Drosophila melanogaster: one gene and its partner. The protein of the gene in region 2 interacts with the protein of the main gene of each other region in a pairwise test. Each region holds a gene or a part of one and is shown on either strand. Other genes may lie near its edges.

Region 1 (4,877 bases), on a different chromosome or scaffold from region 2:
GGCTGCCTCGACTTTTTGCCCCCACCAACTCTGAATTGAAGAACCCCCGCCTTGGTTGAAACTCGATGCGCAGAATAAACGTTATTTAAGTTAATTTTATTGCTGGCATTTGTAAAATGTCAAACCCCGTCTACCAGAATATTTCCCCCAGGTTTTCCTTTGTGGGGTTGCCTTTGATTTCAATTTTCTTATCGCAGATCAAGTGTTAGTGTCGTTTGTTAAATTGGGACAACAATGAAAGTACTTTTTTGGGGTAGGTAAAGGTCAATCCCTGACCTTTCCCGCGAGCCCATAAATATTATGACTGCCCTAGTCGATAATCTCTTCAAAGTTTTCGTCGCTCGCTGGACTTTTAATGAATGTCAGAAAAGCACATAAACGAAATTTCAAAAGCCACGCCCACCCAAAACGCCCCTCTGAGCCACACAAACACATATGGGTGAAGGCCCAAAGCGAATGCGAAACAAAATGTGGCTAACTTTGACCTTTTTCGAAAAGTGAAATAAACAAACAAATTGAAAGCAACACACAAAACAAATCCTGGTCAAAGGGGCGGGGTGAGCGATGGGGCGTGGCCAACATGGCAGGATGAACTAATTCTCTGGCACTCCAAAAAAGGGCTCAGAATAAACATTTTCGCTGGAATAGAACGCATAAATCAGCGAAGATATATAAGATTTCGTCGATACGAAAACGTTCTCTAGAAATTCAGAGGGTGTTCAACGAAGAGAGGGGTTTAGATGGTTTATTGTCTGTCCTGAGTAATGACTGCCCTGTCAAATCAAGCCCTTTCGAATCAAGACTTTATCCAGCAACTCATGTGAGTCCTAACAAAATACTTTTTTCTTTAGTGAATCCATGATTCACTCAATTGTCTATTTTTAGAATCACCGCCAAGAAATCTCGACGCCTGGTACCCTCACATCCCATGACCTTTGTTGTCTTTGTCAAAACAAAGCAAAATATGGCCAAAAGTATTACGCATACGCAGCGTTTGCTGTTTGTACAGAGGCGTTTGCATAATTAGCATAAATTTCGGAAATATTGTAGGCGACACTTGGGCGCACTTAAATGTTATCTCCGCCCGCAGGAAAATCGATTCAGTCGAGTGATCTAAGTTAACATGAAAATCAAATCACTGAAAATGGAAAAACGGAGACAAGAAGAAGCAAAAGTCGGAATCAAATAAAAATGTTTGCACAAACACAATAAAATTGGGGAAACGTTAAAAGAAAAATGTCAACAAAACAAATCGTTTTCTATTAGATTAACACGGGACAACAATTGCCAGAGAAGAAAGAAATCTTTTCACTTGGGTATCTTTATGTTGAAAGTAATATTCATTAACTTTTGATTTTTTTTTTATGGATTGGATATAATTAGCTATTTTTATCCCAACATTTTAAAATATCCAGAAAAAGTGGTTATTGCATTCCAATAAATATTCCTAGGGTCTATTACCAGGCAGTAACCAAATCGAATTTGTCGATGCCACTTTCACTGATTCCGTTTGGGTTCCCTACTCTCCAGTGAGAGAGAGTCAAAAAAAAAAAAAGAAAATTGTCTATTTTGGGAAATCCTACTGCTCTGTCTCCGCTTTTTCTCTCGTAAAATGTGGAGGGACGGACATTAGCTGTCTGCTCGTTTAGTATCCCAACCCCTTGAGAAACTTCCGAACGGCTTAAGGCTATAATCCGGCAGTAAACTGAGTAATGTACCGCTAAAGCAAAAGGCCTCCCTTCGAACCACCTAGAAGACCATTTTTCTGCTCCTTTGCTTCTGCAGATGTCCTTGGGCACAATGCATTCCAATTGAGATTGAGAAAGAAACGCAGCGGCATTCAAAGGAAACCGAGCGCGTTCCTCAAGGGTTCTCTTCACCAAAATCTGAGAAGGGGTAGACGCAGATGGATAAATGAGTACGGGACTCTAGCTTTACGATTGCGATTTAACTGTCTCATTAGGAATAGTTCGTGCAGTTGGCGCTGCAATTACCGCATGGGGAACTGGAAAAAGAAATGGCAATGGATGCTCCATTGAACGTTGACAATCATCATCTCCAATTGCACTTGCTTTTGGCGGATGGGGCGTATGCGTAATATGCTTCCATAATCCCCCCATGACGTCCATGCAGCTGTACAAAACGAGAAACGCACAGACTCGCTAGCAAATTGCATTCGGAATTGAAATAAAGTTGTGGAGAGTTTTAAGAAAAAGTATTTGACCTTCTAAGGGGTTAATGAATCCTGCTTTATGCTGGAAACCGGTCTTTATACGGATATAGAATTCCAGTTAGCCAATTCGGCATCCAGTTACCCATTATCTCATTAAGTCAAAATGTATTAGATTCCACAGAATTCTCAATTACTTCTAAATTACTTTAACAAACGCATAGATACGCATTGTGGCTGGCGAATAATTGCATTTACAGCCCTTCAGATTTCAAATAGGTCATAAAAGGCCACCACCTCCCCCAAGTGTCAGCCACTGAACTCACCTGTAACCAGGAAAAGGTGAGAAGAGCTTTGAGCTTGATTTAGAGTTCCTCTTTCCTGCTTGCCTATTTTCCGGTATTTGATTATCTGATTTATTGATGGTTTGAGATTCGGGTTTTTAATTGACTTATTGCCGAAAAAATTTTCACTCGCGAGAGTATCCCAAAAATGCGGTTGTATCTTACAGATGCGAATGTATCTCGAAGATCCGATGCGGTGTGGACTGATGCGATGCCCTTACGCGACTGAATTTCCGTGTGTTTGGTGCTCGGTGCTTTTGGACTTCGGTATGTTTCCTATTCGGATTTTTCGGTGTCCATCGGCTCTCTGCACTCTCCGCTCACAGTTGTTTTTGTTGCTCCTGGAGGGCAAACAATTTCTGTTTTTGTGGGACAACCAGCAAACAAAAGCACAAGGAAACTGAATCAAAATAAATGCCTTAAATAATTGATGGCATTCGCAATGACGGTCGTGTGCGAATAGTCAATATACATCATCAAATTTTGTGTATTCAATAATCTGACTTAGTTTTCTAAATTAAGTGTAAATTTGTTAAAATTTTAATTTAAAACTACCGTTTTATTCGCGACGCGGCAGAGAATCGGTTGGGAATTACACTGAGAAATAGAGACGTCCACTCCGCTGGCTGACTCGAACTGGATTGAAAAGCTGCCAGCCGCTTGCCGCCTTTATTTCCTCCTAAAAGAGAGTGGAAAACCGAGAGACAGAGAGAAAGTGTCCAAAAAGTTCCATTTGTGGTCTTCCATTGACACCCTTTTCCCTTTTCGGTTGATTTGCCTGTTCCACTGTCACTTGTTCCGTTCTCGCTCTCTCTGGATTTGTCCAGCTGATTACCCCTTCCAGGAGCAGGAGCTTCGACGGTCGCCAGTATCTGATAGTATCTTCTGGATAACGGTTTCATGGAAGTCAGCTGTTTAAGTGGCCCATTCTTATTACCCGTATATGTATGTTGTAGTTTTTAATATTTCATTGAAATTTAAAAATGATATGGTAAGTGATGTAGAAATTCAATAGGACTTATTAAAGCAGGCAAAAACAGAATAATTCAGTTTCTGTCTTATATTAAAGAACAACATTTTAGGGCTTAACTCTTTTTCCGTTTTAACTTTTCTTTATTAATTTTGCTTTAATTGAAACAACTCACGCATGTGAAAATCGTTGTTAACAAATTTATAGCCGCGAATATCCTTATCTTTGGAAAAAGTAACTAATTTGTTTGGGAGAGTGTGGGAGCTTTTCATTCCAGTCGCAAAGCTTTGACAAAGCACCGATGAGGAAAGAGTGATTGCTACACAGCTTTTCTCCAGCAAAGCGGCTACCAGAAGCTTTTACTCAACTTACTCAACAGCATTGAAAACGCGGTGCAGTTGTTGTTTCCCCCTTCGCCAACTGTTCGCCACATCTGCTCGCGTTTCATTGATGCCCAAATATAGGTCAACAATTTGTTCGAGAGTGGGTGGCTGGGTGGTTGATTGTCTTGGGGGCAGTGGTGGGTGGTGGAGGTGTTACATCGCCAACTGAATTATCAGTGTCAGCGAGCGAATGCAGCGGTGGATGCGATGCTGCTATCTGAGGAACACGGCAAACATTGTAAATTGCTCGCCTGACGATGATTGCTTGGGGTTCACCTCGCAACTGGCAACTCAGAACAAATTGCTCGACATTGCGCATACGCCGCGTTATCGGCATGGAATTTATGACGGCACACTCGCCTTGTGTTCACGTCCTTTGGCCAGCCGCCGCCGTCTTTAATTGAATTTTTATGCGCCACCAGCGATCCGCGAAACGTCAGAGGAAAGTGAAAAGTCTTTGCTGTCATCTTCGGCCCTTTTTTAATTTTTCCATACAGAGAGAAAAATGTAACTACAATATTTATATTAATTTTAGACTGCTTCGAACATTTTATGACAAAATTGTATAGTTGCTCCCTTAGGAGTATTAAAAAGAAAAGTAAATTTACTAAAATGTAGTAATTTAACATCCATTTTATTTATCTTGATAAATTTTTATACATATGCTAAGAATACACTGCAAATCATTTTATTCTCAGTGCAAAGCCACCTTGGGCTCTTTCTTTGCTTTTATCCGCCGATCTTCGGCCCTTTTTTAATTTTTCCATACAGAGAGAAAAATTTAACTACAATATTTATATTAATTTTAGACTGCTTCGAACATTTTATGACAAAATTGTATAGTTGCTCCCTTAGGAGTATTAAAAAGAAAAGTAAATTTACTAAAATGTAGTAATTTAACATCCATTTTATTTATCTTGATAAATTTTTATACATATGCTAAGAATACACTGCAAATCATTTTATTCTCAGTGCAAAGCCACCTTGGGCTCTTTCTTTGCTTTTATCCG
Region 2 (3,310 bases):
GCAACACGTAAATCTCTTATGCTTATGAATATGCGCATAGCGAGTAAAAAATTTCATGTTTGTCGCTCGGCATTGATTGAAGTGTGAGTCCCCTGCTACATTCACTACATATAGATATCCATCCTCTTCATTATGCGAGTGCAACCATTATCGAGCTCCTCAAAAGGACTTTGCGCGCTTTGAGACCAATTTATTGATTTCTGGCTGAGCAGCAGAAAGTCGCCCAAAGCAACAACCCTCATTACAATTCCGAATACCAATCAAACAGTTTCTCATGGCATTGTGAATGCTGTCGACACTGGCCTAAACATTTAAGCCATTAACACGCAAAGGTCGCCAAATTCTATTGATTATGACCGCTGGCCAGACGAAAGGGCCAAGAGCGACCGCCCAGCGAAACGATAACAAATAACAATAACAAACAAACAATCGACACAAAGAGTCCTGTTGAATTTCTTGGTAGGGGGTGGGGTTTGTCTGGGGGAAATTCGGCGCTTGAACGACTAAACTGTTTTTCCTTTTTACTGTCTGGCAGTCGCAGTCGTTGGAGGAGGAATAAAAGTCGATTTGAGTTAATGCCAACTGACAGCCAGTTGTCAATTAAAGCAAACAATCGCATGTTATTACAATTTTCGTTAAGTACTGAGTGTGTAAGAAACAACTATAAATTTAATATAGGATAGCTAAGTAAAAAAAAAAAAAACAGTAATACAACCAATAAATGATATCCTTAAGATATGTACAAACATCCAGTACGCATCACTAGCTTCTGCGTCTAGGATTTTTCAACTCCTTTTTCCTTGCCCTCTTCGAAGGTTTCATGTAAGACCTGCGGGTTCAGGACAAGTATTGAGCCAATCGACGAAGTCCGGCATGCCATTAATCAATAAATACCATTCGCCGCTGGGAATGTAAACGTTGCACACGCAGGCATTCAGCAAATGCAGGACCCCAGCGATTACGCCAAAGGCGCTCGACATATAGAATATGTATGCGAACTCGTTGCCGCAATGATCGACCATGGACACCAGGAGGGCAAGTGCGCTTCCTAGGCACAGGAAGCCGCTGGCGAAATTAAACGTCATCGCCTGTAAAACACACTCGTTGAGCATTCATCATCGCCAAATAACTATCGAAACCAGAACAACCCAACCCAGCCCAGCAACGCCCCGCCCAGCCCAACAAATGTATGTGTACGCACAATTGGATCGAGGCCCACGGTGGTGCAGCATAGCCGGAATATGACGAGAACCACGCTCTGACAGGCGATGGCGGGTAGGATGAACGTGTACATCCACACCGATATGCCGTACTCCTCGCCCAGGACACAGTGCGTGGATAGGATTCGGATGAGCAGACCCAGGGCCACAACCTCCAGGACCTGATGGACAAAGGCAGATACGTTACCACGCCCATTGCACTGCAAGATTGCAGTTATAGTCACCGCCGTTAGCAACTGCAGCACAAAGTTCACCAAACGAAAGGGGAAGCTCATAATGGTAACCAGAAATTTTGTTCAAAGCATTGACAGTAAAAGCAAATCTGCCATCTAATGAAGGAAAAAAGGAAACCGTTTTTCCTTACTTCGATTGGACTTTGAATTGGCTACATTTTAAAAGTAGGTGAACTGTAGCATCAAATTACAAGATATTAAGATACCCCAATAACATAGTGTGACCAGTATCCCCAAATTACAATCTTATGTAGCTTTGGGCACACTGTTTTACTGTAAATGCTTTATTCAAGATGCCAACTTGTGGAATTGCTTCACTCGTAGCAAAATTTTATTGTTTTCTCTTGCTCCTCTTATTTTTTGCGTTTTTCATTTCGTTTTGGCCCAGCTAATCTAATTGGCCTCGATAGCGCTTGTTGAGTGCCCGAGTCGTTGCCCCGCTGCCACGCATTTGTTGCTTTGTTTGCACTAATTTCATTACTTGTGGAATGTGGCGATGATTTCATGCAATTTAAAGCCACATTTTTCAGTGGCAAAACATTTAGCGAAGTACCTGACCGGACCCGATCCGAGCCGGACCCATGGAACTCGGGCCCAAGTGCCCAAGTGGCCAAGAGTAGTCCCATAACCGGCTAGCGTCGTCGACCCACTCCAGGCTTTCGTTTCGGAACGCCGACTGGGATCGAGCAATGGAAATACCGTTGATAAATGAAAATTTCAAAACGTGAACCAACAAAAGGGGACAAAAACAAACGAAAGCAAACCGAACACAAAACAAGCGGAAAAAAGGGGGCGGCAAATATAATATAATTTAATTTGTTCGCTTTTCAAAAGGTGCTCAGCCCCAATTGTCCCGCCGCCCCTTTTCCATATAAACCAAACTAGGTTTGTTTAAGCATTTTGATTGAGCAAAAAACTCTTAATTTCTTAGGGTGAAAAAGTGATCGATACTTTAGCAAGTCAATCGCTGGATGGGAGGACAACTCTCCCGAGTGGCATAAATTTTGGCAGCTTTGTTGCGACAATTGCATATTAGCCAAACATGACAACGTTTCGCCTTTTCGGTGAAATTTATGGAAAAATGTTGCAAAGACAAAAAACTTTCGACTCGAGATAGAGACAGAGATGCGATGCGAAGTGAAGTGAACTCCCCAAAGCGGCCAAAGGAGCAGGAGAAAGAGAAATGTTCTCGAATAAACAACAGCGGAAATGTAGGCTATGATTTGCTTACTTGTGGGGCGGTGGAAAGGGGGGCCTTTTGCAACAGGGGAGTTGGACCAATGACAAGGGCGGTGTGGCATGGCAAAAGTTGCAAGAGTCAGAGAGCTGGCGAAACATAAATCAAATGCATGTAAAATTGTCGTACTTTCCGCACACATATCCTGATCCTGTGCAAGTGCATTGGGCAGGCCCAAAGCAGGACAAGCGCCGGAGGAAAGGACGAAGGAAAAGGACGAAATAGGAAGGACGGTATATTGGTGGGCGGTGTGGCAATGAGTGAGCGTATGGATGTGTGTGTGTGTGTGTGAGTCGGAGTGCGTTGTGTTTTGTGCACATCCGTTAACTTTGTCATTTTTGCTCATTTCCTTCCGGCTCGCGCAAGAAAACTGCAGCAGCAGGAGCAGGGCCAAACGAAATGATTCCCAGCAGTGCTCCACTGAGCCACTGAGCCACCGAGCCACTGAGCCACTGACAAGCCGTAAGCCGTAAGAAACCCAACCGAACTACAAACACAAGGCTCGATGGCGAAACAAAAGCAATGCGGAAAGCGGCAATAAGTTGGGGGCATAACTTTCAGTGCCTTCAAGAACACGTCCTCCAGTGGCGTGCGAAATGGGGTTCTTTAGTCCTCAATGA

What was found.
Region 1: the proteins of CG12426 (region 2) and Slob interact in a two-hybrid assay, tested with the Drosophila melanogaster proteins (one large-scale study listed by BioGRID).

The regions. Positions count from the first base shown.
Region 1 is NT_033779.5:7,671,943-7,676,819, forward strand, and holds the start of Slob (slowpoke binding protein), read right to left. Parts: upstream 3,137-4,877; 5' UTR 2,497-3,136; intron 1-2,496. UniProt on the Drosophila melanogaster protein: Regulator of calcium-activated channel Slo. Increases or decreases the voltage sensitivity of Slo, depending on the absence or presence of 14-3-3-zeta in the complex, respectively.
Region 2 is NT_033777.3:27,870,849-27,874,158, forward strand, and holds CG12426 (uncharacterized protein), read right to left. Parts: upstream 1,543-3,310; 5' UTR 1,496-1,542; coding exon 1,445-1,495; intron 1,382-1,444; coding exon 1,202-1,381; intron 1,089-1,201; coding exon 895-1,088; intron 830-894; coding exon 763-829; 3' UTR 653-762; downstream 1-652.